2 linked regions of the Lonchura striata genome follow. The protein of the gene in region 1 interacts with the protein of each later gene in a pairwise test. Links are inferred from orthologs where the notes say so. Each region holds a gene or a part of one and is shown in the gene's direction. Other genes may lie near its edges.

What was found.
Region 2: the proteins of GTPBP3 (region 1) and PARP11 interact in binary tests that used the Homo sapiens proteins (3 or more experiments, as listed by UniProt). The two-hybrid records come from large-scale screens. The link is inferred for Lonchura striata from reciprocal best matches to the Homo sapiens genes GTPBP3 and PARP11.

Annotation. Positions count from the first base shown.
Region 1 is NC_134630.1:7,746,919-7,761,671, reverse strand, and holds the start of GTPBP3 (5-taurinomethyluridine-[tRNA] synthase subunit GTPB3, mitochondrial), read left to right. Parts: upstream 1-8,853; coding exon 8,854-8,873; intron 8,874-9,792; coding exon 9,793-10,085; intron 10,086-10,889; coding exon 10,890-10,976; intron 10,977-12,391; coding exon 12,392-12,594; intron 12,595-12,746; coding exon 12,747-12,819; intron 12,820-14,066; coding exon 14,067-14,210; intron 14,211-14,753. Other genes in the region: ANO8 (anoctamin-8), read right to left, coding at 1-70, 1,072-1,210, 2,297-2,429, 3,243-3,353, 6,811-6,910. UniProt on the Homo sapiens protein: GTPase component of the GTPBP3-MTO1 complex that catalyzes the 5-taurinomethyluridine (taum(5)U) modification at the 34th wobble position (U34) of mitochondrial tRNAs (mt-tRNAs), which plays a role in mt-tRNA decoding and mitochondrial translation.
Region 2 is NC_134604.1:30,783,467-30,799,193, reverse strand, and holds the start of PARP11 (protein mono-ADP-ribosyltransferase PARP11), read left to right. Parts: upstream 1-9,168; 5' UTR 9,169-9,264; coding exon 9,265-9,333; intron 9,334-10,735; exon of another isoform or gene 10,736-12,051; coding exon of another isoform or gene 12,052-12,078; intron 12,079-12,512; coding exon 12,513-12,641; intron 12,642-12,739; coding exon 12,740-12,860; intron 12,861-14,080; coding exon 14,081-14,156; intron 14,157-15,078; coding exon 15,079-15,151; intron 15,152-15,238; coding exon 15,239-15,369; intron 15,370-15,727. UniProt on the Homo sapiens protein: Mono-ADP-ribosyltransferase that mediates mono-ADP-ribosylation of target proteins. Plays a role in nuclear envelope stability and nuclear remodeling during spermiogenesis. Inhibits the type I interferon activated signaling pathway.

The DNA of each region.
Region 1 (14,753 bases):
TGTTGTGCAGGGACTCGCCCTGCTTGGCCCGCAGGTTCTCCAGCCAGTAGCGGATGATGCTCTGCCGCTCCTGCGGGACGTGCTGGCATGTCCCTGGCATGTCCCTGGCATGTCCCTGGCATGTCCCTGGCATGATCCTGGTGTGTCCCCGGCGTGTCCCCGGTGTGTTCCCAGCGTGTACCCACCATGTCCCCAGCATGTCCCTGGCGTGTACCCACCATGTCTCCGGTGTATCCCTGGCATGTCCCTGGCATGTCCCTGGCGTGTACCCACCATGTCCCCGGTGTATCCCTGGCATGTCCCTGGCATGTCCCTGGCGTGTTCCCGGTGTGTTCCCGGTGTGTCCCCGGTGTGCTCCCAGCGTGTCCCCACCATGTCCCCACCATGTCCCCGGCCCTGTCCCCAGTGCTGGGGGTGGCTGAATCCTCACCCAACCTCCCCATGTCCCCTGTCCCCATAATCCCATATACTCATATCCCATATCCAATATCCCCATAATTCCATATTCCCACACCCCATACCCCATATCCCATACCCCGTATCCCATATCCCATACCCCATATCCCACACCCCATATCCCATATCCCATATCCCATATCCCACATCCCATATCCCATACCCCATATCCCATATCCCATATCCCATACCCCATACCCCATATCCCACACCCCATATCCCATATCCCATACCCCATACCCCATATCTCACACCCCATACCCCATATCCCATACCCCATATCCCATATCCCATACCCCATATCCCATATCCCATACCCCATACCCCATATCCCATACCCCATATCCCATACCCCATATCCCATATCCCATATCCCATATCCCATATCCCATACCCCATATCCCATATCCCATATCCCATATCCCATACCCCATATCCCATATCCCATATCCAATATCCCATATCCAATATCCCATACCCCATATCCCATATCCCATATCCCATACCCCATATCCCATATCCCATACCCCATATCCCATATCCCATATCCCATATCCCACACCCCGTACCCCTCACCCCGTACCCCGTACCCCTCAGCCCGTCCCCGGGGCCCACCTGGGAGCTGAAGAAGCCGAGCTCGTTCTCGATGTTCTCGTAGATGTAATCCTCCTCGCAGGAGAAGCCGCGCATGCCGCCCCCGAACTCGGCCTTCACCGGCTTGCGCAGCCCCATCTCGTCCGCCCCGCGCAGCAAACTGGAACCCCAAAAACCCGCTCAGCCTTTGCATCTCGTCCACCCCACACAGCAAACTGGAACCCCAAAAACCCCGCTCAGCCTTTGCATCTCATCCACCCCGTGCAGCAAACTGGAACCCCAAAAACCCGCTCAGCCTTTGCATCTCATCCACCCCGTGCAGCAAACTGGAACCCCAAAAAACCCCACTCAGCCTTTGCATCTCGTCCACCCCGCACAGGAAACTGGAACCCCAAAAACCCCACTCAGCCTTTGCATCTCGTCCACCCCGCACAGGAAACTGGAACCCCAAAAACCCGCTCAGGCTTTGCATCTCGTCCACCCCGCACAGGAAACTGGAACCCCAAAAACCCCACTCAGCCTTTGCATCTCATCCACCCCGCACAGCAAACTGGAACCCCAAATCCCGCTCAGGCTTTGCATCTCATCCACCCCGCACAGCAAACTGGAACCCCAAAAAAACCCGATCAGCCTTTGCATCTCGTCCTCCCCGCGCAGCAAATTGGAACCCCAAAAACCCGCTCAGGCTTTGCAGGGATGGCACGTTCGTTCATTGTTACAGCGCCAGTGCGGGGACCTTTCCCCTTCAATGGACGTGTGCAAGCCCGAGAACTCCCACTCCTTTTTATCACCCTCAACTAATTACCCTTAATTAATAAATGAATTCATATAATTTCACAATAGGTTCATGCATATTCTTCTGCTGATGTCGACAGCTGGTTACATTTGTACTCAGCTTTTGTCAGAAAGTACAGAAAGAACTCCTGGGTCACTCTGAGCTGTTTCAAGGTCCGAGGAGTCTTTCTTATCTCTTATCTCTTATCTTTTTAGTGTGGAAATTTGCATTCTTGATGGAAATTAGAATTTGTGTAATTCTTAGCTGGGGCAACTTTGCTGGTGCTGCAGTTACCAGACTAAACAGCATACTTCACTTCTGTTAGCGAGCCCAAATTTGGATTTCACCTGCATTTAAACGGATTTCTACCCTGTTACATTTTCTGTCTGTCTCAACAGCACTGGGGACACGCGGGGGACACTCTGGGACACGCGGGGGACACGCGGGGGACACGCTGGGGACAGCACGCACCTCTCGTAGGTGGCGGTGACGAAGAAGGCGTAGACGCGCGTGTGGCGGTGGTGCCGCACCTGCACGATCAGCTCGGGGATGCCCAGGCGGATGTGGTTCAGCAGCCACAGCAGCGTGTGGTCATCCGTGCTGTCTGCGGGGACAGCGCCGCGCGTGTCCCGACACGGTGTCCCTGTCCCCAGCCTGCCGCGTGTCCCTGTCCCGGTCCCCAAACCCCCAGGTGTCCCTCATCCCTGTCCCCAAACCCCCAGGTGTCCCTGTCCTGGTCCCCAAACCCCCAGGTGTCCCTCATCCCTGTCCCCAAACCCCCAGGTGTCCCTGTCCTGGTCCCCAAACCCCCAGGTGTCCCTCATCCCTGTCCCCAAACCCCCAGGTGTCCCTGTCCTGGTCCCCAAACCCCCAGGTGTCCCTCATCCCTGTTCTCATCCCCCCAGGTGTCCCTGTCCCAGTCCTCACCCGTCCCCATGTCCCTCATCCCGCTCCCCATCCATCCACACATTCCCCATCCCTTCCCACACCCCCATCCCTCCTCACATCCCTCATTCCTCCCAAGATCCCACGTCCCCCTCCCGCCCCAATCCCCCATCCCCAATCCCCCATCCCCAATCCCCCATCCCCAATCCCCAATCCCAAATCCCCAATCCCCCATTCCCCATCTCCCATCCCTAATCTTCCACCCCCAATCCCCCATCCCCCATCCCCACCGCCACCTCCCGGGCTCCCCCCACCATCCCCACCCCCTCCTACCTCGGCTATCCCAGATTTTCCTGGGTACATCCCTATCCTGGATTCCCCAGTCACACCCCGAATCCCGGATTTCCCAGTCCCACCCGATCCCGGTTTTGCCGGTCCCACCCCAATCCCGGTTTTCCCAGTCCTACCCGATCCCGGTTTTCCCGGTCCCCCCCCGATCCCGGTTTTCCCGGTCCCGGTTTCCCGTCCCTACCCGGGAATGTCATGAGCACGTCGCAGTTCTCCGTGGGCACGGTTTTCATCCAGGCCTTGTGGGACATGATGTAGCGCCCGGCCTGGAGCAGCCGCTTCCCGAAGAGTTTATCTGCCGGGGGAGGCGGGCAGGGATCAGGATCCCCGGGCAGCGGATCCCAGACGGCCCCGGAGCCCCGGGACCCCGCGGGACCGCCCCGGGACCCCGCGGGACCGCCCCGGGACCCCGCGGGACCGCCCCGGGACCCCGCGGGACCGCCCCGGGACCCCGCGGGACCGCCCCGGGACCCCGCGGGACCGCCCCGGGCCGCCCCCAGCCCGGCCGTGCCGGGTCACGGCATCGGATTTCTCCTGCGGAAAATCCCCAAACCGGCACCGACAGCTGCGGGGAGGAGCCCCAACGCCGCGGGATGTCCCCTCGGAGCGTCCCCAAGGCTCTCGGCTCCTCCCGCTGCTCCGGGGGACGGCGAAGCGCAGCAGGAGCGGGGATCGGGAGCCGCAGCCGGTCTCCATGGAGACGGGGATGGATGGGGAGGGATGGGCACGGTCCCGGTGGCGGCGGCACCGCGGGGACGCGGCCGCCGTCCCCGGGCCCGCCGTCCCCAGAGCGCCGCCCCGGGAGGGTGGGGACAGGGGGGCACCCCAAAAAATCCACCCGCAGCTGGCGGGGACGGAGGTCCCCGATGGCGTGGGGACCCCCCGTTTGTCGCTTCCCCTCGTGCCTCAGTGTCCCCTCGTGCCTCAGTGTCCCCTCGTGCCTCAGTGTCCCCTCCTCGGCCGGGGACGTCGCGGTGCCCCAGGGCTGGGAAGGGCTCGGGGTGGCGGAAACCGCGGGGGAAAACAGGAAATGCCAGAGCCGCTGATGCCAGGGAAGGCACCCCAAACCCTCGGCTGGGAACCCCCAAACTCCGCGCCCCGCTGGGCTCTGAAAGGCTGCGCTGGCCCCGAGCTGCGGGTGGCACTTGGGGACAGCGCCAGGCTGCCAGCCGCCCCGCGGTGTCCTGCCCTGGGGTGCGGGGGAAATGGGGTGCCAGGGTGAGGGGCAGTGGGGTGCCCGGCTACCAGGGACTTGGGGTTTAGGGGTGCCAGGGTATCGGGATGCCAGGGGTATCAAGGTATTGGGTGCCAGGGCGCCGAGGTGTTGGGGTGCAGGTATTTCAGGGTGCAGGTATTTCAGGGTGCAGGTATTTCAGGGTGCAGGTATTAGCATGCCAGTGTTTCAGGCTGCAGGTATTTCAGGGTGCCAGTCAGGGTGCAGGTATTTCAGGCTGCAGGCATTTCAGGGTGCCAGTGTTTCAGGGTGCCAATGTTTTAGGGTGCAGCTATTTTAGGGTGCCAGTGTTTTAGGCTGCAGGTATTTCAGGGTGCCAGTCAGGGTGGAGGTATTTCAGGGTGCCAGTGTTTCAGGGTGCCAATGTTTTATGGTGCAGCTATTTCAGGGTACCAGTGTTTCAGGGTGCAGGTATTTTAGGGTGCAGGTATTTCAGGGTGCCAGTGTTTCAGGGTGCCAGTGTTTCAGGGTGCCAGGCCATCGAGATATGACCCTGCGGGGCTACCAGCATGCCCGGCGGGCACAGGGCGCTGGTGGCAGTGGCACAGGGCGCTGGTGGCAGTGGCACAGGGTGCTGGTGGCAGTGGCACAGGGCGCTGGTGGCAGTGGCACAGGGCACTGGTGGCAGTGGCATAGGGTGCTGGTGGCGCTGGCACAGGGCGCTGGTGGCGCTGGCACAGGGCACTGGTGGCAGTGGCACAGGGCGCTGGAGGCAGTGGCACAGGGCGCTGGCACAGGGCGATGGTGGCAGTGGCACAGGGCGCTGGTGGCCCTGGCACAGGGCACTGGTGGCAGTGGCACAGGGCGCTGGTGGCGCTGGCACAGGGCACTGGTGGCAGTGGCACAGGGCGCTGGAGGCAGTGGCACAGGGCGCTGGCACAGGGCGATGGTGGCAGTGGCACAGGGCGCTGGTGGCGGTGGCACAGGGCGCTGGAGGCAGTGGCACAGGGCGCTGGCACAGGGCACTGGTGGCAGTGGCACAGGGCGCTGGTGGCGGTGGCACAGGGCACTGGTGGCGGTGGCACAGGGCGTTGGTGGCAGTGGCACAGGGCAATGGTGGCAGTGGCACAGGGCGCTGGCACAGGGCGATGGTGGCAGTGGCACAGGGCGCTGGCACAGGGCACTGGTGGCGGTGGCACAGGGCGTTGGTGGCAGTGGCACAGGGCAATGGTGGCAGTGGCACAGGGCAATGGTGGCAGTGGCACAGGGCGCTGGTGGCGGTGGCACAGGGCGCTGGTGGCGGTGGCACAGGGCACTGGTGGCGGTGGCACAGGGCGCTGGTGGCGGTGGCACAGGGCACTGGTGGCGGTGGCACAGGGCGTTGGTGGCAGTGGCACAGGGCAATGGTGGCAGTGGCACAGGGCGCTGGTGGCGGTGGCACAGGGTGCTGGTGGCGGTGGCACAGGGCACTGGTGGCGGTGGAGGCAGTGGCACAGGGCGCTGGTGGCGCTGGCACAGGGCACTGGTAGCGGTGCCACAGGGCGCTGGTGGCGGTGGCCGTGCCACCCTGCCGGGCAGCCGGGTGACGCGGCCGGGCTGAGCTCACCCACGCTGCATTATTCATGTCCTGCCCGCAGCGGTGCCACCCGGCGCGGGCACCCGCGGCACTGCCACCCGCGTGGGGCAATGCCCGCCCCGGGGCACAGAGCCGGGCCCGGGGGGCTTTCCCTGCCCAAGGTCACGGGGAGCGGGGGTCCCCAGCACCCCCGGGCTGGCCCGGTTTGGGGGTGACCGCCACCCGCCGTCCCCGCAGCCGCTCCCGACGCGCGGTGCCACCACCCAAGCGGCGCCCGGGGCTCGGCGGGGCCGGCGCGCCCTGTGCCACCCCCGGGTCCCCCCCGCTCGTCCCCGATTGCCGCCGGCCGTGCCGCTCACCTTGGCTCCCGGGCTAAGGTCACCGGAGCTGCGGCGTGGCGGGGACCGGCGCGGCCCGGGACCGAGCGGTGTCCCCGGGGGGGGCACGAAGTGGGTCACCCACCCGCGCCGGGAGCCCCGCTCGGTGGCACGGCCGCCACCGGGCCCTGCCGCCCGCCGCGCCGCGGGGACCCCGAGCGGGGGACGGCGGGGGAGGAGACCCCCGCGACAGCGTGGGGACAGCGACACAAAGGCTGCCAGCTGCGCCACCCCCCGCGGGCCGGGGGCACGGGCCTGGCCGGGGACAAAACCTTCCCGGGGCGGGGGACACCGGGGCCGTGGCGATGTCACCGGTGACGCGGGGACACCGAGCCCGCTGCCAGCCCCATCCCGGGGGGGCTCGGGGCGGGGGGGGTGACACAAAATCAGCCGCGACCACCGGAGAGCCACAGACCCCCCATGAGGCGGGACCCCCACGGGCGGGGGGCTCGGAGCCGTGCCGGTACCGGGGGATGCTCAGAGCTCCACCGGCAGCACCGACACCGCCCCCCCCCCCGCCCGGGGCGGTCCCGGGGAGCCGCATCCGCAGCGAGCCGCATCCCGGCCCGCCCCGTGCGCCCTCCCGGTTCTCCCGCAGCCCCCCCGCAGCCGCCGGTTCCCGTACCCAGCACTCCGGTGGGGGCCGCCGGTTCCGCTCGCTCCTCCGCGGCCGGGGCCCGCCGGGGCCGCTCTCCGTCCTGCGCCGCGGCCGGCGGCTCGGGCATGCTGCGGGGCTCGGCGGCGGCGGAGCGCGCCGGTGCATGGGGCCGCCGGGGCCGCCGGGGCCGCCGCTGCCGCCGCCGGGGCCGCCGCCGCTGCCGGTGCGGGCGGGAGGAGGAGGAGGAGGAGGAGGAGGAGGAGGAGGGACAAAGGCGGCGGAGCGGAGCGCGGGGCTCCCGGCGCCTTTAACGCCCCGTTCGGCCACGCGTGTCCGGCCGCGCCCCGCGTGGGGGGGTCCCGGGGGGATCGCGGGGGGCGGCTCCGCCCGGCGGCGGCACCGGAGCGAGCCCGCGGCGGCACCGGAGCGTCCCCCCGGTGCGTGCCCCGGCTCGCCGTGCCCCTCCGCCCCGCCGCGCTCCGCCCGTGCCCGCCGCCGTGCCCGGTGCCGCCGCCGTGCCCCCGGTGCCCCCCCAGCGCCACCCCCACCCCGCCGCTCCCGGTAACCCGAGCGGGGTGAGCGCCGCCCGGTGACATTTCGGGTGACCCCCCCATCCCCCCAAACCCCCCCAAGGCTCGGAGCCCCCCCGGCTTGTGGGGACCGGGGCCCGGTGCCAGCCCGGCCGCTCGGTGCCACCGGGGAATGCCCCCGCCGCTGGCGCCGCGGCTGGCACGGGGGGCACGGGGACACGGGGGACACGGGGACACGGGGACACGGGGACACGGGGGACACGGGGGACACGGGGGGCACGGGGGGACACGGGGGGAAACGGGGGGAAACGGGGGGAAACGGGGGGCACGGGGGACACGGGGACACGGGGGACACGGGGGGACACGGGGGACACGGGGGGCACGGGGGGACACGGGGGGAAACGGGGGGCACCGGGGGCACCGGGGCCGGTCCTGTCCATCCCTGCCTGGGCCCCAGCCTCTCCCAGTCCGTCCCAGTTTATCCCAGTCTGTCCCTGTCTGTATCCCTGCTGGAAGCCGAGCCGAGATTTTGGGAATCAGGACAGAGATAGGCATAATAATAATAATAATAATAATAATAATATAGCCACAAGAGGAAATTAAATATATTGGTTTGATCTACAAGATGGCAAGAGGACAAGTCAAAGGTTCAAACCAAGCGAAAGAACATCGAAATGCAAAGAAATCTTTTAATATAAACTTTTATAAATATGCATGTCCCCCCCATAATGGAACAGTCCATAGAGAATGTGCTTTGAGTTAAATAAATATGAAACGATTTTATACATAAATAAATTATATCTATTTAATAGAAACTTACCATAATAATATTTAATTGATATTATTTTTATATATATATAAATATAAATTCAATACATTTATATTTATTTAATTTAAACCACGTTCTCTATAGACTGTTCCATTACAGGAAGTACATCTATATGCATATTCATACAAATATTTGTATGAATATATATGCATATATGGATGTTTATTAATAAAATAGTTATTAATTAAATAAATAAAATTAAATAAATGTATTGTTATTTTAAAATAATTTAATTTAATATTATTTATTTTTTTAATAAATAAATTAATTAAAAATAAAATATCAAGCAAACAGCCGAGCACCCCAGAGCTGGATTTCACCCCTGAATAAACTTTTATAAAATGAAGACATTTTATTTAAAGATAAATAGATATTAAATTTTATAAGAATTTCAACAGCGACTCGTGTTCGCCACCGGGACGAGCCCGCGGGCCGCGGGCAGAGGGACCCGAGGGGCCGGGCGGGACCTCGCTCCGCGCGGCTTCACGGAGGGCGCCGCCGTGTTTGCACATTAACCAATCAGAGGCCGCGATTCACCGTTAGCCCCGCCTATCTCTGTGTATTGACCAATAGCATGCGTTATCGGGCCAGGGCGCTGAGGCCGGTGCGGGATTTCACCGTGGGTAGCCACGCCCACTCGGTGGGTTTGCCCAATGGCGTGCCGCGGTGGGCGGGGCTTGGCGGAGGGCAGCGATGGCGCTGAGCGGGGCCATGAGGGCAGCGCGGGGCAGGTGAGGGGACAGAGGGACAGAGGGACAGAGGGACAGGGAGGGACAGAGGGACAGGGAGGGACAGGGAGGGACAGAGGGACAGGGAGGGAGAGAGGGACAGAGAGGGGACAGAGGGACAGAGGGACAGGGAGGGGACAGAGGGACAGGGAGGGACAGGGAGGGGACAGAGGGACAGAGGGACAGGGAGGGACAGAGGGACAGGGAGGGGACAGAGGGACAGAGAGGGGACAGAGGGACAGGGAGGGACAGAGGGACAGGGAGGGGACAGAGGGACAGAGGGACAGGGAGGGACAGAGGGACAGGGAGGGGACACGGGGACAGCCCCGGGGTGGCGGTGCCATGGGGGGGTACGGGAATGGCTGAGCCGGGGGGTTTGGGGGTACCTGGGGAGGGAATCGATGGGGAGGGGTCTCACCTGGGTAGGGTCTCACCTGGGCAAGGTCCCACCTGGGCAGGGTCTCACCTGGGGAGGGTCTCACCTGGGGCGGGTCCCACCTGGGCAGGGTCTCACCTGGGGCGGGTCTCACCTGGGCAGGGTCTCACCTGGGCAGGATCCCACCTGGGCAGGGTCTCACCTGGGCAGGGTCTCACCTGGGGAGGGTCCCACCTGGGGAGGGTCTCACGTGGGGAGGGTCTCACCTGGGGAGGGTCCCACCTGGGCAGGGTCTCACCTGGGCAGGATCCCACCTGGGCAGGGTCTCACCTGGGCAGGGTCTCACCTGGGCAGGATCCCACCTGGGCAGGGTCTCACCTGGGGCGGGTTCCACCTGGGGAGGGTCTCACCTGGGGCGGGTCCCACCTGGGGAGGGTCTCACCTGGGGCGGGTCCCACCCGAGGCCAGGTTCCCTGCCCACGGGGGTCGCGCCCCCTCTGTGCCCACCGGGGGGGTCCCCATAACGACCCCAACCCCCTCCCCCAGGTGGGCGCGCACGCTGAGCTCGGCGGTGCCACCCGCGGGTGGCACAGGTGGCACGGCAGGTGGCACGGCAGGTGGCACGGGTGGCACGGGTGACACCATCTTCGCGCTGTCCTCGGCGCCGGGGCGCTGCGGCGTGGCCGTGATCCGGGCCAGCGGGCCGGGCAGCGCGGGGGTCCTGCGCAGCCTCACCGGGACCCCCGGGCCGCCCCCGCCCCGGGTCCTGGCCCTGCGCCGCATCCGCGACCCCCAGAGCGCCGAGACCCTGGACAGGGGCCTGGTGGTGTGGTTCCCAGGTGGGAAATGGGGCTGGGGGCGTGGGGAGCGGTTCCTGGGTGGGAAATGGGGCTGGGGGCGTGGGGAGCGGCTCCCGGGTGGGAAATGGGGCGTGGGGAGCGGTTCCCAGGTGGGAAATGGGGCTGGGGGCGTGGGGAGCAGTTCCCGGGTGGGAAATGGGGCTGGGGGCGTGGGGAGCGCTTCCCGGGTGGGAAATGGGGCGTGGGGAGCGGTTCCCAGGTGGGAAATGGGGCTGGGGGCGTGGGGAGCAGTTCCCCGGTGGGAAATGGGGCTGGGGGCGTGGGGAGCGGTTCCCGGGTGGGAAATGGGGCTGGGGGCGTGGGGAGCAGTTCCCCGGTGGGAAATGGGGCTGGGGGCGTGGGGAGCGGTTCCCGGGTGGAAATGGGGCTGGGGGCGTGGGGAGCGGCTCCCGGGTGGGAAATGGGGCTGGGGGTGCGGTTCCCAGGTGGGAAATGGGGCTGGGGGCGTGGGGAGCGGTTCCCGGGTGGAAATGGGGCTGGGGGCGTGGGGAGCGGTTCCCGGGTGGGAAATGGGGCTGGGGGCATGGTTCTCAGGTGGGACAGGGGATGGGGACACAGATTTGGGGGGCAGGAATTGGGGGTTGTGGGCAGGAATTCGTGTTTGGGGGCAGGGTTTGGGGACACGAGTTTGGGGATTGAGGACACGGTGCTGGGCTTGGGGACACGGGTTTGGGGTTGGGGGACAGCTGCTCCTGGGGCAGGGTCCCCCCAGGGGCCGTTTTGGGGTGTGGGGAGGGGGTGCCGGGGGTCTGGGGGTGCCCACCCGGCCCCCTGTGCCCGCAGGGCCCCACAGCTTCACCGGGGAGGATTGTGCCGAGCTGCACGTGCACGGGGGGCCCGCCGTGGTCAGCGGGGTGCTGCGGGCTCTGGGTGAGCCCCGATGCCCTCCTGATCCTGTTCCACCCTCCTGATCCTGTTCCATTGCTCCTGATCCTATTCCATCCCTCCTGATCCTATTCCATCCCTCCTGATCCTGTTCCATCCCTCCTGATCCTGTTCCATCCCTCCTGATCCTATTCCATCCCTCCTGATCCTGTTCCATTGCTCCTGATCCTATTCCATCCCTCCTGATCCTATTCCATCCCTCCTGATCCTGTTCCATCCCTCCTGATCCTATTCCATCCCTCCTGATCCTGTTCCATCCCTCCTGATCCTATTCCATCCCTCCTGATCCTGTTCCATTGCTCCTGATCCTATTCCATCCCTCCTGATCCTGTTCCATCCCTCCTGATCCTGTTCCATTGCTCCTGATCCTATTCCATCCCTCCTGATCGTATTCCATCCCTCCTGATCCTATTCCATCCCTCCTGATCCTATTCCATCCTTCCTGATCCTGTTCCATCCCTCCTGCCCCTGTTCCATCCCTCCTGATCCTGTTCCATCCCTCCTGATCCTATTCCATCCCTCCTGATCCTATTCCATCCCTCCTGATCCTGTTCCATCCCTCCTGATCCTATTCCATTGCTCCTGATCCTGTTCCATCCCTCCTGCCCCTGTTCCATCCCTCCTGATCCTATTCCATTGCTCCTGATCCTGTTCCATCCCTCCTGATCCTGTTCCATCCCTCCTGATCCTATTCCATCCCTCCTGATCCTATTCCATCCCTCCTGCCCCTGTTCCACCCTCCTGATCCTATTCCATCCCTCCTGATCCTGTTCCATCCCTCCTGATCCTATTCCATCCCTCCTGATCCTATTCCATCCCTCCTTCCCATATTCCATCCCTCCTGCCCCTGTTCCATCCCTCCTACCCCTGTTCCATCCCTCCTTTCCCATCCCATCCTGATCCTTTTCCTCTTCCCCTCGGGATGCCGGGTGCTCCTCCTCCGTCCCTCTTCCCCCTTGATTTTGGAATCCTGGGGGTTCTGAGGATCCTGAGGGATCCTCCCTTTCCCCCTTCCTTTGGGATGGGGTCCGGGCTGATCCTCCATCGCTTTCCCCTCCCTTTGGGATGGGGTCCGGGCTGATCCTCCATCGCTTTCCCCTCCCTTTGGGATGGGGTCCGGGCTGATCCTCCATCGCTTTCCCCTCCCTTTGGGATGGGGTCCGGGCTGATCCTCCATCCCTTTCCCCTTCCTTTGGGATGGGGTCCGGGCTGATCCTCCATCCCTTTCCCCCTTCCTTTGGGATTGGGTCCGGGGTGATCCTCCATCGCTTTCCCCTCCCTTTGGGATGGGGTCCGGGCTGATCCTCCATCCCTTTCCCCTCCCTTTGGGATGGGGTCCGGGCTGATCCTCCCTCCCTTTCCCCTCCCCGCCCATGCCCCTCTGGCCGCCGGCTCCCCAGGCCGCCTGCCGGGGCTGCGTCCGGCCGAGCCGGGCGAGTTCACCCGCCGGGCGTTCGCCCACGGCAAGCTGGACCTGACGGCGGCCGAGGGGCTGCGGGACCTGATCGGGGCCGAGACGGAGGCGCAGCGGCGCCAGGCGCTGCGGCAGATGGAGGGGGACCTGGGCCGGCTCTACCAGCGCTGGAGCCACGCCCTGACCCAGGTGGGGCTCGCCTGGGGCCACCGAGCTGCCTGGGTGGCCACCGAGCCCGCCCGGGGGCCACCGAGCCCGCCCGGGGGCCACCGAGCCCCCTGGGTGGCCACCGAGCCCCCTGGGTGGCCACCAGCTCAGGGTGACTCTCACCCCAACATCAGGCGCTCGCCCACCTGGAGGCCTACATCGACTTCAGCGAGGATGACAACGTGGAGGAAGAGGTTCTGGCCCGAGGTGAGCCCCGCTGTCCCCTCTGTCCCCTCTGTCCCCGCTGTCCCCACTGTCCCCTCTGTCCCCTCTGTCCCCGCTGTCCCCTCCTGTCCCTGCTGTCCCCTCTGTCCCTCCTGTCCCCGCTGTCCCTTCTGTCCCCTCCTGTCCCCTCTGTCCCCTCTGTCCCCTCTGTCCCCTCTGTCCCCGCTGTCCCCGCTGTCCCCTCTGTCCCCTCTGTCCCCTCCTGTCCCCTCTGTCCCCTCTGTCCCCGCTGTCCCCACTGTCCCCTCGGTCCCCTCCTGTCCCCGCTGTCCCCGCTGTCCCCGCTGTCCCCTCCTGTTCCCGCTGTCCCTGCTGTCCCCTGTGTCCCCTCTGTCCCCGCTGTCCCCTCTGTCCCCTCTGTCCCCTCTGTCCCCTCCTGTTCCCGCTGTCCCCTCTGTCCCTCTGTCCCCTCTGTCCCCGCTGTCCCCTCTGTCCCTGTGCCACGGCTGTGTCCCCACGCTGTGACACGGGGAATGGGGACATCCAGGGGGGCTTGTCCCATCCGCCTGCTCCAAGTCCTTGTTTGTCCCCCTGAGAGGGACAGGGGATCTCTCCCGGTGTTTTATCCCAGATTTGGGGATCAGGCCCTGGGGTCTGTTCCGGTGTTTTATTCCAAATTTAGGGATCAGGAGACCAGGTCTATTCCAGTGTTTTATTCCAGATTTGGGGATCAGAACCTGGGGTCGCTCCTGGTGTTCTATCCCAAATTTATGGGTCAGGACCTGAGGTATCTCTCAGTGTTTTATCCCAGCCCTGGGGTCTCTCAGTGTTTGATCCCCGATTTGGGGCTCGGGCCCGGGTCTCTCAGTGTTTTATCCCAGCCCTGGGGTCTCTCAGTGTTTGATCCCCGATCCGGGGCTCGGGCCCGGGTCTCCCGGTGTTTGATCCCCGATTCCGGGCTCAGGCCCTGGTCTCTCAGTGTTTTATCCCCGATTTGGGGCTCGGGCCCGGGTCTCCCGGTGTTTGATCCCCGATCCGGGGCTCAGGCCCGGGTCTCTCAGTGTTTTATCCCCGATTTGGGGCTCGGGCCCGGGTCTCCTGGTGTTTGATCCCCGATCCGGGGCTCAGGCCCGGGTCTCCCGGTGTTTGATCCCTGATCTGGGGTCTCCCGGTGTTTGATCCCCGATCCGGGGCTCGGGCCCGGGTCTCCCGGTGTTTGATCCCCGATCCGGGGCTCGGGCCCGGGTCTCCCGGTGTTTTATCCCGCGCTGAGCGCCGTGTCCCCGCAGTGGCGGGCACCGTGCGGGCGCTGCTGCAGGAGCTCCGGGGCCACCTGCGGGACGGGCGCCGGGGGGAGCTGCTGCGGGGGGGGGTCCGGGCGGTCATCGCCGGCCCCCCCAACGTGGGCAAGAGCAGCCTGCTCAACCTGCTCTGTGAGTGGCCGTGGGCACGGGAGGGCACGGCGGCGCTCCCGGGATTCCAGAGGGTGGGGTTCCGCTGTCTGCGCGTGGAGGGGCTGGGATAATTCCCAAAATTCCAGAGGGAACCATTCCCAGTGTCCCCAAGGCCATCGTGTTGCCCGTGGGTGTGGAGGGCACGAGATAATTCCCAAAATTCCAGAGGGAACTGTTCCCAGCGTCCTCAGGTCACGCACAGCAGGGACTGGGCGTGGAGGGCTCAAAATTCCCAAAATCCCACAGGGACCATTCCCTGCTGTCCCCAAATCATGGAGGGGTTGGGATAATTCCCAAATTCCCACAGGACCATTCCTGATGGCCCCAAGTCACCAATGGACACGGAGGGTTGGGATAATCCCCGAATTTCCTCTGTCCCCACATCCCCCACGGGCATGGAGGGTTGGGATAATTCCCAAATTCCCACTGTGCCCACATCCCCCACGGGCACGGAGGGTTGGGATAATCCCCGAATTTCCTCTGGGCACGAAGGGTTGGGATAATCCCCTAATTTCCTCTGGG
Region 2 (15,727 bases), on another chromosome or scaffold:
GTTTTCCCAGCAGATGGTTCTTGGGAGCAGCATGGAATAGACCATACATAATTCTGATGTAACTTCTTTCCATAAGTTGAGCAGCTTCATCCTGTAGCTGGCATGGGGAAACCTGGAGATGTTTGCTTCTGGGCTAGCCATCTGCTGTGCAGTAGAGAGTAGACACTAAGAAACAACATGCCATTCCCACCGGGTGATGTTTGCACCAGTGTTTCTTCTATGCAATACCTACTTTCGCCTTTATATAAAAGATTTTTACTAGGATGATATAAAAATAAAGGATTTTTTAAAAGGTGTCTCTTTCAGCTCATTTGTCTCCTAACTCCACCACCAAAATTGAAAAAGGACAAAAAAAAAAAAAAAAAAAAAAAAAAATTCCAAAAGGTGACTCACAGAATCTTTGTGAAAAGATTCCTCTCCCCTCCACACCACCTTCCCCAGTACTCTCTCATCCTTCAAAACAGTATTAAAACAGAAAAAGGTGTGAAAAATCCCCAAATAATGGAAATATGGTTTTAGGAGCCTGACATAGGATAGAGATTGCAAGGGTCACAGAGAACACAGAATAGCTGAAGTGAAAACAAAATAGTAGAGAGCTTGAAAGACATTCAGAGGACAGTGAGAAGTCTTGGACAAAATGTGAACACTGATTAACACTCACATAGAGAATGATTACAGAATAGCCCTCCAAATGCCAGGAAAGTAGAAGATGGGCTGAAAGATCCCCAGATGAAACAGGAGCCATGCAGAAGTGAACAAAGGAATGGAAAGTCTGAAAGATTCCGAGTGCATACACTAGCCTCAGGGAAGGGAAGAAAGTCTGTAAGTGCTCAAGAAAACAAAATGCAGCAGTGTCAGAGGCCAAGAAAGAAAGAGATAAGGCAAAGAACCACCTCAGAGAACTCAGAGAATACAGAAGAGGCTCAGTGATAACAAGAAAGTATCAGAGCTATTAAAGGAGCTCCAGACTACTCAGTAGTACCAAGGGTGGCCTGAAAAGAAGATTAAAAAAAAAAAAAAAAAAAAGCGGGGGGGGGGGGGGGGGGGGAAATAAAGATTGATAGAGGGCCAAAGAGTAGCATCAAAGAAGGGAAAATCAGCCAAAAATCTGTAAAAACTCAGAGAACACGAAGTAGCCTCAAAGAGGCAAAGTAACTAGTAGAAAGCTTGAAAGAACTATGATGAACACACAAGAGACTTTAACAATAACAAGAAAGTATCAGAGATTCTGAAAGTGCCCTAGGAGTGTACGCCTGCAGCTTATGAGAGGAGAGAGGCTAAAAGAGCAACAGAAAATAGCCTTGGAGAAGGGAAGAAACAAGAATGAAGGCTGAAAAAGTCCCAGGAGAAAGAAGCGAAGCCGCTGATGCCATGAACCTTGAAGGAAGACTAAAACAGCCCCAGATAATCCAGTCAAACTTCAGAAAGAGGGGGTGAAGGGTGAGTAGGATATGAAACAAGCAGAAAGACTGAAAGTCCTCCAAAATCCCCTTAGTGAGAAGAAGGAGGAAACTTAAAGTCAGCCAAAGCAGCTTTGGAAAGGCTAGGGAAGAAGTGGTGAGGTTGGGAGAGTCCCAAATAACAAAGTAGCCTTGCAGATACTGAGAGATTAGAAGAAAGCAGGGGAGGACCTCAGAGAAGAAAGTAGCACATGGTCTACAAATGTGAAGGATAACAAAGACTAGCCTCAGAAGGATGGAAAAAGGTAGGCAAGAAAGAGATCCAGAAATCATACAGTAGCTTTGGAGAGATGAGAAAATACAGCAGAAAGACTGAAAGGACCTTGAGAGAGCACAGAGTAGCTTCAGAGAGACCAAGAAAGAAGCAGATGTTAAAAAGAGTCCAAGGAGGGCCCACAGTACCACTGGAAGGTCACAAAAGGAGAGACACTAGAAGAACCCCACTGCATGCAGATTATTCTTAGGGCAGGCTTTCCCAGTTGGGCTGGAAAGCCCATTGGAAAACATGCTCTTGTCCTTGTTCCTCAAAGCAGGGGTCCATTGCCATAAAAGCCTCTGTCTGCAACACTGGCTGTGCAGGCAGGTCTTAACCCACAGGTTGGAGGCTCTCCTGCCCAAGCTTCACCTTTCCACTAGCAGGACCAAGGAGAACAGTGCCTGGGCTCCAGTGCCCTGTAGCCACTCTTGGTGTGCCTAAGGTCTCCCTTGACAGTAACACTGGCACACACCTGGAGGAGCAGGCCAGAGTCCAGACATGCCTTCGTGCTCTTTGCAACAGCCCCAGGTCTGACCTCCCTGCAATCAGGAGGTCATGTCAGCTATAAACCAGTCAGTAGATGGGTGCCTCTGTACCTGTAGAAAGCATCTCCAAGCAATGTCCCAGCACTGGCTCAGGCATGGTGCAGATGCAGCTGGTTGTGTTGCATCCCTTGGCAGTTCAGAGCATCCTGACGTAAACAGTGGGGTGGTGAGTACATGGATTACAGCTCAGATGCATGTGTGTGTGCACATTTGAGTATGGGAACATGCTGTAGCTGTGTGGAAGCCCAACTGTATGAACACCAGAGAGACTCCAGAGATTTTCTTTTCTCAGTTTGTAGCAGGTTGACCCTCACCCACAGCTAAGGACCACACACTATCTTGCTCACTCCCCCCTGAAAACCACAGCAGCATGAGAAGAACAAAAGTGAGAAAACTTACAGGCTGAGATAAATACAGTTTATTAACTGAAGGAAAGAGGAAGGGAAAAAAACTGATGCAAAAGCAGACTGATGTCCAGTCAGTCTCTGAGCAACAGCTGCCTTCCCAAAATCTCTCTTTCCTCAATTTCTGTTACTGTGTATGATATTGTAGGGCATACAGTATCTTATGGGTCAGGCTGTCCTGCTTGTGTCCCCTCCAAATTCTTAAATACTCCTGAGGGGGGTGAGTGGGTGTAAGAGAAAGCTTTGATGCTGTGCAAGCAGTGCTCAGAAATAGCCAGAACAGAGGTATGTTACCAGGGCTTGGTTTAGTTACAAATCTGAAATGCAGCACCATACAGCTTCCCTTCCCTTCCCTTCCCTTCCCTTCCCTTCCCTTCCCTTCCCTTCCCTTCCCTTCCCTTCCCTTCCCTTCCCTTCCCTTCCCTTCCCTTCCCTTCCCTTCCCTTCCCTTCCCTTCCCTTCCCTTCCCTTCCCTTCCCTTCCCTTCCCTTCCCTTCCCTTCCCTTCCCTTCCCTTCCCTTCCCTTCCCTTCCCTTCCCTTCCCTTCCCTTCCCTTCCCTTCCCTTCCCTTCCCTTCCCTTCCCTTCCCTTCCCTTCCCTTCCCTTCCCTTCCCTTCCCTTCCCTTCCCTTGGTTCCTGGCTTCGTTTGGTGCTGTTGTGTTGTTTGTTTGCCTTGTTATATATATTATAGTAAAGATCTATTATTCCCTTTCCCTTATCTCATTGTGAAAGCCCTGTTATTTCAACGTTTTAATAATTTGGAGGGAAGCGGGTCATATTTTCCACTTCCAGAAGCTTCCTGCCTTCCTGGGCAGACACCTGTCTCTCCTAAATCATGACATAAGGAAGTAGGGTGATGAGTAAAGTTCAGTCATTAGAACAACACAGAGGGAGCAGCACTGCAGGGGCAATGAGAACCAGCCCCATGCAGCTGTTCATGTGTCATACCTGAGCAATCTGGTGCCGGCAGAGTCACTGGTTTTGAGGATATCTCATTCTCTGTTTGACTCAGGTAAACAGTCATTATGCAATGCTCCAGTTAGCAATGCTGTGCCAGCCTAGAAAAGGTAGGAGTCAAAAATTGGTGCAGGTATTAAAGTGTTCTTCCTCGTGGGTCTTCTATGTTCATCTCCAGAGAGAAACAAACTAAAAGCTCTCTGCTTTCTGCAGCTGCTACAAGTGCATCTATTTGTATTTAAAGTCTCTTAATGTCGCCTGAAGATTTGGAAACTTCCTGGACTCCTCCTCCCTGCAGAAAATACTCCAAAAAACCAACAGCAACAAAAACAAACAAACAAACCCTCAAAACCCCACAAAACAACAATAACAAAAAAAATCCAGGGATGATGGAGCTCAGCCTGCTCATAAAAGGAGACAGGCAACTGGCAATTTTAAGCAACCAAGTATAGTGAAGTATTGAATATGAAAGTGAGACAACCAGGAGGGAAAAGAACATCTAGGAATGTGAAAGAAAAGTGAAAGGAGACAAGGAAGTCTCTAGGGTGTGGGGTTTAGTCTCCATTAATGAGGGGTAGAACATGTACTGCTTGGGACAATGGCTTTCATTCAGTATCACAAAAAAAAAAACCAAAAAAAAAAACAAAAAAAAAAACAAAAAAAAAAAAAAAAAAAAACATGGAAGAACTGAGATGTTCCCAGACCTTTTCCATCTCCCAGAGAGTGCAGAATAGGCATAGCTGGGGAAAGCACAGCAGGAACAGGGCTAGGAAAGGATCTTCTCGCAAACAGAAGGATGCAGGAGACTCAGGTTAAGAAAAATCACCTGACACGTCTAACAGCTCCTTGAACAACAAATCTAGAGGATGTAGACTTTCAAGGAAAGAATGTAAAATAATATTCTTCTACAGATTCCTCTACATCTCAAGACCAATGCCATATTTGAGGTGGACAGCCATGACCTCCAGGTGTGATGTTCTGTAATAAGCAGAGTATTTCCTCAATCTTTTCTCTTGCCTCTGGGCAACTGCATTTGCGAGTGTACAAGTTTGTGGATACCACAGCTATCACATGCATCCTACAATTTCCTTTATGCTGCAATACATATGACCACAATAAAATCTTAATGTTTTCCGAAAAGTTGCAAAACACTGTCAGTATTTTCTTTTCATAGTGCAGTAATTGTTCTATTTTGGGGGGTCTTGGGGGCATGGCATGTTTATATTTTATTCCTTCTTTGGTTGTTCTGTTTGGTTTCTGCTTACTTTCAGTTAATGTTGGCATTTACATTATCATTCAGTCGCATATATGTAACATTACACTGATTATTAAAAATTAATCTATTATGAAATGGCAAATACCAAATAATAACCCACTTGCCCCTCTTGGAGAAGGTATAATGGCAGTTTATGTTCCTTGTCCTTTCTTAGTTGATACACTCGAGGGCAGAGAGCAGCTCTTCATAAGGACACAGACAAGCTGGAGGAGTGGGGTCAGAGGCACCATATGAAATTGAAAATGGACAAAGGCAAAATTCTGCAACTGGGAAGAGCTAATGCCCGGCAACAATATGTGTTAGGAAATGGTGAGCAGCTATTCTGAAATTCTGGTCCTGGTAGATGGAAAGCTGGATGTGATCCCACAGTGTGCCCTGGAGGCAGCAGAAGACAACTGCACCCTATAAAATAGCAGGACCATATTCAGGATCTCAAAAGAAAGGAATACTAGGATTTTTTAAACTCCATCTAAAATACTGCATCCAGCTTGAGGCTCATCAATATATGAAAGGTTGATAAAATTGATCAACTGAGGCAATTTCAGCAGAGGAGCGCCAAGACACTCAGGAGGCTGGAGCACTTGCCCTGTGAGGAGAAACTGATGGACCTGGACTTGGTTAGCCTGGAGAAGGCTCAGGTGAGAGCAACTAACTGCAATATTCCAACAGAAGATTCCTTCTGCAGAGGTTAAGAAGACCAGGCCAGGGTCCTCACAGTAGTGCATGGTGGTAGGAGAAGAGGTAGAAGGCTTAATCTGTGATGAGAGGATATAGGGGAAGTTTTTTTACACTGATGAGAGTCAAGTATCAAGCACTGGAAGAGGTTGGCTAGAGAGGTTGTGCGGTCTGTGTCCCTATAGGTTTCAAGACCTGGTTCTGAACAGTTCTGAACAAAGTTATATGATCTCATAGTTGACCCTGATTTAAACAGGAGGCTGTGTGAGATCATATAGAACAGTTGGGGTTGGAAGAGACCCTAAAGATCATCTAGTTCCAACTCCCCTCCCATGGGCAGGGATACATTCCACTGGACCAGGATGCTCAGAGCCCTACCCAACCCATCCTTGAACACTTCCATGGGCCACAATGAGGCCTCCCTGGATCCACCTCTTCTCCAGGCTAACAGCCCCAACTCTTTCCGTTTGTCTATGGAAAAGAGGTACTCCAGCCCTCTGAACACCTTTGTGGCCCTCCTCAGAGATGACCAAGGTGCATTCCCACTTGAATCCTCTTTTAATCCCCTGCCTGATACAATTAAAGAAGCACTATCCTCTGGTAATTGACTGTAATTTTCCTCTGTTTCAGGTAGGTTCCACCAGCTAGGAGACGCTGTGCCTGCTTATTTTCTTGCCCAGGGAAAGGTACTGCCAGGAAGACTGAGGGAGCTCACCTCACAGGGTTACACTGAAAGAGTCAATGTGCACAAGTCGCAATACAAGAAATTCTGGAATAGACAGAAGGACAAAAGCTTCTTGCCCTTGAAAACAGCTCAGAAGACATGCCTGGAGAGGGGGAAAAAAAAGTTTGAATGAGGAATTGAGCAACTTAATCTAAATTTTAAGTAAGGCCTGCTTTGGTAAGGAGACTGGATTAAAGAACTTCACCAGTCCTTTCAAACCTAAATTCTTCCATGATCCTACAATTTATGTACCAGGCAGTACCAGGGAGTTCTCTCTTTCACTTCTATTTGACCATTCCCTGTGAGAGCGGGTTTGTAACTCAAGTAATGTGGCCAAACCTCTCCACTTTCTGCCTTTTTGCTGCTTGAAGTAGAGGCTGATGAAAATCAATTAATGCAGTTACGTTTTCTTCAGACAGGCTGCTAGTCTGCACACAGTACATCACATAGCCACAGAAATATTTGGATTTGAAAGGGTTTTATGTTGTTGTTGCCATTAGAAGTCTGGCATTCGCATGTAGCTTCCTAAGAATACAGTCTCATAACAGGCTGTGTTTTCAATGCAATGAAGACATTCTTATCTCAAGAGAGGTTTATGCTCCATTATTAATTATCAGTCTAAGCATACAAAGAAAGGGAAGAAACACACAACAAAAAAAAATCTCAACTCTATCCCACACTTCAAGGCATAGCAGCAGAAACTCCTTTAAAACTTCTGGCTGCTAGAAAGCTGTGAGTTGTGCTACTGTAACTGCACATACACAAATTCTGCAAAAAGCATGACCCTTATTTCAAAAATACACAACAGACAGTATTAGCAATAGAAATAAATGATTCAAAGAGGCTCACATTAGACTTAAAGCATTGTCAGCATATTTTAATTAAAAAAAAGATGTTCAACAGACATTCAGCAGCAAAGGTGGTAACAGAGTTCTTCCTTGCTTCTAGCCTCTGTATAGATCCATAAAGCAAGGCAGGATATGTCCCAACAAACTTCATGTGATTTCCAACAATGTCAATAAAAAAACTTGAAAAAGATGGCTCTACCTCCAGAAAACTCCTTTATTCCAGAAGCATTATATTCATGCCAGTGAATTACCTCCAGTGATTCACCATGGGCTGCTTGACTTTTTAACTCAAATAGACAACCTTTTCTAACTCTGTATTCAGAGGCAAGGTCAGGACAGCCAGAATCTGGGTAAACATCCTGTTTGACACTCCCTCAGAACTGGAGAAATTAATCATTTTCACTCCACCTGTGTTGTTCTTGGCATGCTACTAATGAAAACCCTTCACTGCAGGATGTGCTGCAATGACTGCACACATATATGAAGACTGACTGTGTTTTGGAAGTTACCAGGCCACTGCCTGACAGCAGAATGCTGTAGCTGGTGTCACTGCCAGCTTCTCCACCCAGCAGCTCCCCTCCTAGAATGTCAGCACAAAAGCATTATCTGTGCTCAGCCCTGTGGCTTCTCTTACTAACTGGTCCCAGATCTGCTGCTGCTGCTGCTTCCAGACCTCACTGTGGCATGGAGCTGCTCATGGGTCCTGAGCGCCTGCAGCATGCTCTGAGTGCTGCCCTCTTTGCTCCGTGTGACCTACGCCGTGCACGGTGTGATGGTCACTTCTGTGCCGTGCCTGGCACCAGCACGGTGTCACGGTTCTGGTAGCACAAGGAACCGGCACCGGTACTGGTACTGGAACCAGCACTGGGACGGTTACTGTTACCGGTCCTGGCCCTGGAACTGAAACTGAGACTGGCACTGATACCGGGACTGGGCCTGGGACTCGAGCAGCTACAGGGAGAGGTACTGAACACATGCTGGCACCAGAGCTGGAACTGGGATTGCTACCAGTCCTAGTGCTGGTACTGGTGCTTGGACTGGGACTGGAGCTGGCCTTGGTACTCGTGCAGGTACAGGGAGAGGTACCAGAACTTGGTACCTTGGACTTGGTACAGGGAGAGGTACCTGAACAACTGCTGGCACCACAACTGGAACTGGGATTGCTACCGGTACTGGTACTGGCAGTGAGACTGGAACTGGGATTGCTGCTGGTACTAGCACTGGTACTGGTGCTTGGACTGGGACTGGAATTGAGCCTGGTACTGGTTTTAGTACTGGTAAAGGTACTTGGACTAGTTTTGGAATTGGGGATGCTGAAACTGGGACTGGGCCTGGTAAAGGTACTGGTATTGGCACTGCCACTGGGGCTGGTATTCATACTGGTACAGGTACTCGGACGAGTTTTCGAACTGGGCCTGGTGCTGGAACAGGGACTGGTGCTCGGATTGGAACTGGCACTGGCACAGGCAGTGGTGATGACACTGGAACTAGGCCTGGTACTGGTGTTGGTACTGGACAGGGGTTTGGACAGTTTTTGGCACTGGGGCGGGAAGCGGTGCTGGGGTGGGCACTCTGCGGTGCCGGTGCTGACACTGCGGCACCGGCACCGGCACCGGCACCGGCACCGGCCACAGGCCGCGGGCCTGGGCCCTCCCCGTCCTTCCTGCGCGTCACGACAGCGGCTCCGCCCCGCCCCGCCCCCGCCTTTATTTGCATGCCCACCCCCGACGGGCCAATGGGGCGCGGCCGCCGCGGCGCTGGCCCCGCCCTCCGCGGCCGCCGGTAAACGGAAGCGCCGGGAGCGGAGCGGGCCCCGCGCGCGCCCGGCCCGCGCGGCGCGGGCGGCCTGCGGGAGCGCGCCCGGCGCGCGCGGCCGCTGCGGTGAGTGCGGGCGGGGCGGAACGGCCGCCGCCGCCGCCCCTCCCCCCGCGCCGCGCCCTCCCCCCGCGCGCCCCGCGGGCCGCCGCCCGCCCCGCCCCGCCCGCCGCGCAGCGCCGCCCGGTTGGGCGCGGGGGTGGGCGGCGCCGGCCGCTGCGTGTGTGGGAGCGGCCTGCGCGCCCCATGGAGCCGTAGTGGTTCCGTGCCCGGCTCGCTCGCCGGGCCGTGCCCTTGAACGCCCATGGATTCGGCTCCGGCGGGCGCGGTTACGGGTGTGGTTGCGACGGCGGCCCCCGGCAGCACGGAGCGGGTGCGTGGGGGCGCAGGTGGGAAGGGCGTTGTCATTGCACCGCGTGCCCCGTGCCGGTGCTAGCGCTGGTCCTGCTCCTCGCCTCCCCTCCCGAGCCCTGCGGGCTCACCTCAGGCAAGTCTCCTCACCAGGCGGCGTGTTCCAGCGATTCCCTCGGCACTGCCTGTGCTCCCGGCAGGATGCTGCTCCAAGTCGATGTCTGTAGGGACAAGAGCCTTTGGCAATAAAGGACGGTGTGCCAAGTGAGCAGGCAGCACAGGAATCCAGACAGAGTAGTCCATTGGGACGCTGCTGTGTTTGTCATCATCTGGGTGGTGAGACCTGGCACAGGTTGCCCAGAGAAGCTGTGGATGCTCCGTCCCTGGGAGTGTTGAAGGCCAGCAACCTGGTCTAGTGGAAGGTGTCCATGTCCAGCAGGGTGATTGAAACCAAATGGTCTTAAAGTTCTCTTCTAACCCAAAACATTCTCTGAGTCTGCTCACTGTAACGGATGTATATCAGGAAAACATAAAGTACTTATGGAAAAAAGAGGAAGTGCATGGCCAGTAGTAGTAAAGCCATTCAGTCACAGCGCCCAACGAGCACTGTTCTTCTTTAGGAGGATGTTTTTCCTAAGAAATTTGTTTGAGCTGTTCTGGTAGCTCCTGAACCAATAGGAGCAGTGCTGATGATGGGAGTTGAGACCATTCTCAAAATGCTACCTAATGCTTATAAATGGTGTGCATTTTATTTTGAATTAGTCAGTAATTCCTTCAAATATTTTGGATTTGTGTCATCTTTGAGAACAGTTCACTTGTTTTTACGGCTTTACATATTCATGCATTCAGATGTTTCCTCCATAGTTTTAAAGTATCCTGGAATCTACTACCTGCTTACCCCAGACTTTGTAATGAGGGTAATATATGTAGGTTGAATGTCATATTTTTGAAAGCCATGGGAATAACTATCTCCTTAGTAAATGGTTTATTCTGGAGGCTGAGATGCCCCTGGAGGACTCTAAGTGTCTTGTCAGGCACAGATAATCATGCCTTCTCTGCTTGTACAGGCATGTCCTCTTGTTCAAAAGGCATCATTGGTTTCACTGAACTAATGCTGGGGTGTGGGGGGAAGCTGAGCTCACCACTTTAACGGGAACATGAGGAAACAAAACATTACCAGGAAAAGCCCGTGTTGCTTTCCTCAGCTTTAAAGAAGTGCAGCCTACCTCTGCCTGCTCTCAGTAGGATAGAACATAGTCAAATACTTATCCAAGAGGAAAAATCAAATTGAAGGTGAAAGATTTCCACCAAAAGGTGTTGGCCAGTTGTGGTTTTAACACCCAGGGAATGTAGGCTCTGTGTCTGTGTTGCTATGGGTAAAAGAAGAGATGTTGACAGATGCCCTCTGAAGCAGAGAATGGTTTTCTTATCTCTTTCAAAATAATTTTTCTGTGCAGCTGATGAACCTTTTGTGTAGTGCTGCTTGAATTTGAGGTAGCAATCCATACACGGAGCCTTGGGTAGGCTTTCATTTTCACTGAAATAGGTTTGCCCTCAGATTCTGCAATTTGGTGATGTTTTGGAGATCCACTTATGATTCCCCTGCTCTCGATGCATTTGGATTTTTGTAACCATTTGGAGCTTTTGGTGATTAGAGTACAGCCACTAGCTATTATCACAAAGAGGTTTCTCAGATTTTTTTTTTTTTTCCAAACAACTACAGAAACACAACTAGCTTGGGGAAAAATGGGGGGTGAAGGGTGTGCTAGAAGTGCCTCCTGCTCTGAACTGCTGCCCCAATAGCACTGGCCAGAACAGGGATGCCTACTTTTAGTATCCTGTATTTGTCTTCTTCAGGTCTTTATTTTTTTCTGGGTTGAAGTGACCAGGAAACAACTGAAACATCCAGGATGCTAACTGCACATTGTTTGACTTGTGCTGGAGGATGTTGTTTCACTTCTTGGAAGAAAAAGTGAACTTGAGGACATATTTGGATAAGAGTGCCAAAGTGTTTTGCTTAAACAGTTAGAGTGGATGAATTGCTGACCAACCTTTTCTGGGTGTGGGGCAAATTTTTTCTCTGTGAAGATTCCCTGAAACTTTCTTAGAATTTTTGCTTGGGGAGGTTGTTGCAGAAAGTTGACACATTAGGAAATACATGCAAATAGGGGTGAGCACTTTCAGAGTTTTTAGAATTTTATTGACAAACCAAGAATAAGCTGAATTCTGACAGGGACTGTTCTTCTAAAGGTATTCTGGTATAGCTCTAGGTAGACTTAAACTTGCCTAGCTACTTTTTGAACTTCCATAACATGAAAAGAAGTTCCATAGGTTGCCATCTGTTTCATGAAGTTTTTCTTTTACTTGCTTTGAACTTGACATGTGCAGCCTTCAATAGGTGTCTCCTCCATATGTCAGAAGAAAATATGATTCTTCATTCCCTATTTGGTTTTGTCATGATTTTGTAGACCTGTGCTGTATCCTTTCCTCAGTTCTTTTTTTTATTCCATCCTTCAGAATCCCCACTGTGGTAGTCATTGCTTGTGTGGGAGCCAGTCTTGCTTTGTGTGAACCTTCTCTATAAATACAAGTACAGAGTATCAGGAATTTTACTGTGCCATTTTTAAGTGGGTGCACTGGGGAGAAATTTTTTCAAGCAATGGAAAGGAATAATCTACTGTGGTCTTGCACAGTTAAATAAATGTATTATTTGTCTTAATTTGTTTTCTTACAACTATTGATGTCCAGTCTGATCTGTTCACTTCTGGTGAGTACCTAGTAGGTGTTTCCATCAAGCTGTTGGATGTAACCCCAACATCTCATTCTTGAGAAGTATGAATGAAGAGCCTGTTGTATATTTCTGAGTGGCCTTGATCCTACAACCATCAGTATGAAATTTAGCACCTCTCTCTGATCACATAAAGGTTATAGCTCTTGCCTTTACTGTCACACTTTACAGACAATTAAGATTTTGAAAGTATTTAGCTAATTTAAAGGATAATACTGGATAAGTAGCAAATTGAGAATTTTTCTGTGGAAAAGCAAGAACAGATCTGTCCTCAGCCTGATAGGATTTCTTTTTCTTTTTCTTTTTCTTTTTTTTTTTTTTTTTTTGGTAGTTATTGCAAATGCTCTTTATTTTGCTAGTTTTATAAGTTTCTCTAAACTTTTTTTTTCTGTGTATGTGTGTGAATGTTTCAGGAAATGCTTCAAGGACCATCAGAAGATGTGTTTGCAAAGGTGGAAAGTTCAGTTGAAGACATGGATACCTCCGATACCCAGTGGGGCTGGTTTTATTTGGCTGAGTGTGGTAAATGGCATATGTTTCAGGTAAATACCTATGAAGTTATATTGGCTCTGATGGATTCCATACATCAAATTACCTATGGCTGAGTTTGTCTTAACGTGCTTTTTCTTTTATTTTGAAGACCGACTCAAACAGTCACTGCAGTATCAGCAGTGAAGATATTGAAAGGAGTTTCCGAACAGACCCCCATGGATCTCTGTCTTTTACCACTGCAAAGTTTAACTACACACTGGACTTTTCAGGTATGTGTCTTGCAGAAGAGTAAATTTAAACAGCAGAAGGTCTCAGATACACCAGCACATTTGTTCATTCAGCAGGTTATTGTCCTCATATCTGGTACGAAAACACAATTAAGAATGTCTTCTTTACTGGAAGGTACATAGGAGTTTTTAGAAACAGCTGCCCTGTTACATTTTTTGTGTAGTTTATTAATGAAGTAGCATGTTTTGTTTAATAGCACTCCATTGGATTTCCTACTGCTTGCTCCAGCTGCAAGTGGCATGTAGGATACATCTCTTGAACTGGGAAGGTTGAACCTTTTTTCTTTCATGTGCAACTGCCTGTAAACTTGAAAAACCTCTTCCATTGTAAATGAGGTTTCCTGCAAAATACTGGCATCAAAATGATTTAATAATTCAGCAGGTAGTTGAAGCCAGTTCTATTCTCAGAATAACAAGGAGATACGCAAAAGGATTTACTAGTATATTGTAAAGATCTCCCTTATGCTGTGCTTGTAAATTACAGAGTATTACATGTTTCTAATGTATGTAACTAATTATAAATGTAATCTGTTCTGTGTTCAAAGGTGTGTTCTAGTAACTTTTGTTTTAGTTTTATATTCATAAATGGTTTGTTTTCTGATTAAATTACAAAACGGCTATATGCTTAAATATAGGAAATTAAGGAAATAAATACATATTCCAATATATGTATCCAAATTTCAAATACATAAAGTGGGGACTGAGTAAAACAGCAATATACTGGGAGTAAGGTGGTATCTAGCAATACCACAACGAGTTTTATGCTTACTTGTGTCTTTTTATAAAAAACTGTGTTTTGTATCCTGAATAAAAACACTACACTTATAAGCAAATGTTACAGAACAATTTTTATATTACTCTCTTTAGGCCATGATGTCTTACACTAAGGATAGTGTATTCTTTGTCATCCCTTTCAAGTCAGTGGAATTTCTTCCTGTGATTCAGTGGGGCTGAATGTTAGATAGATATTTTAAAAATAAATGTTTTCTATGTGTAATATTTGGACATTTTTCCAACTCATATAGATGACAATGCATTTAGAAACATTTATTGAAAATGCTGATTTGTTACTTGTTGAAGTAGGAATTCCTGTCAAGTAGCTTAGGGTGTAGTAACATTATTTTAAAAAATGATACTTAAATGTTTCATATGCTGTAGATGAATTCCCAAAAATTTCATCCTAATTCTTCTTTTATGCTCAGTGATGAAACAAATCAACCTAACTACCCTTAAACAACGTCCAATAAAGCGAGCTCCCTTTGCAATCAATTCATTCAGGTAAGAAAATAAGAGGAAGACTCTTTATTTTTCTTTTATTCCTGCTTCTTCTAAGTAGAATGAAACCAAACTGTTTTATCTTGATTTTTTTTATATTTATTTGTTTTTGGAGTTGCTCTGAATACCTGTTGAATCAGAATTGCTGCAGGGAAACAGCACCAAAAAATGGAATCCATTGACTCCATATATTATTTAGAAGTATTATTGTAACATCAAAAAGAGGTTGACTTACATGTTGTGCCTATATTTTACTCATTTACTCTAAAATGGAGTTTAAAAAATTGTGTTGTAAAGATTCTTTTATGAGTCTAATTGCTTTAGATAGTCAATTTCTTACCATTTCATCAGTCATTAGATGTAAAGCTGAGCTGATGTGAATCTGCTAAATAAACTGAGCTATGCAGTGTTACTATCACAGGTGAAATTGAGTACATGGGATATGTGTGGGTTTTTCCCCAAATAGTTTCTGAGAAAAAATTTAGTTCTGAATTGTAGTGTGGTTATACATTCAAAAAGAAATTTGTCATTTGTCATAAGAAATGTAGTAGCAATCTGTTTACACTGACTTTCAAGAAGACTTTGTTTTCGAAGTGCCAACGTTTTTTCAGTCGATATTTGCTAAATAGTGCATACAATGATGTAGAAATTTTCTTTGTTCTTTGAATAATTGCATCAGCACTCTTATTTCCATATGGTGACATTTTTTACTTTCAGGAGATTCCTTCTTTTAGTCCCAGTTTTAAGGCTTAAGAGCTTCAATATATGTAGTGCATGTGCTTAAACCACTCTTTTTTAGTAGCTCTGTATAAACTTCATGGGGATTTGCTTTTTTTGCATACTGTTTTGTTTGGAGCAGGAGTTTGACAGGAAGAAAATGCCTCATGTCTTTGAAGTGATGTGCTTTTACCTTTTTTGTTTGAAGTTTCATCTGTGAAAATGAGGCTATCCCTATGCCTTCACATTGGGAGAATGTAAATACTGAGGAGCCATACCAGGTAAGAGTTGGTAGGCAACTTGGTCAAAAACATGTGACAATGAAATAATGCATTGAATTGAAATCGCACTAACCTCTTTTTTTCCAGCTTATTCCATTGCAAAAGAAAACAAATGAATATAATGAAGTTTCTAGTCTCTTTGGAAAAACAATGGATAGCCACCGAATTAAAAGAATTAAGAGAATACAAAATCTAGACTTGTGGGAGTTTTTTTGCAGGTGAGATTATTTCTAAAACCAACAGTTTTAGGATTGTTAATGGAGAAAAGTTTTAAGTCATGCAGCAGAAATATGTTTAACTGTTTTTATTACTAATGAAATATTTTGTTACTTTTTAACTTTTAAAAATTTTCTTCTTTGTAGTTTCTCTTTATTTAAAATTTAATTTTTAAGACTGTATAGCTTCTACAGGTGCAGAAATGTAATATTTGTAGAAATGCGTTAGATAAAGCTGTAGCACAGATAATATGTTTAAGATGTTCAGAATATCTGTGTGATAGATGCCCATGATCCTTACAGTGAAGTAAGGAGAAAAAAATAGCTTTTTGTAAAATGATTCCTGGAGAGGCTTGTATTA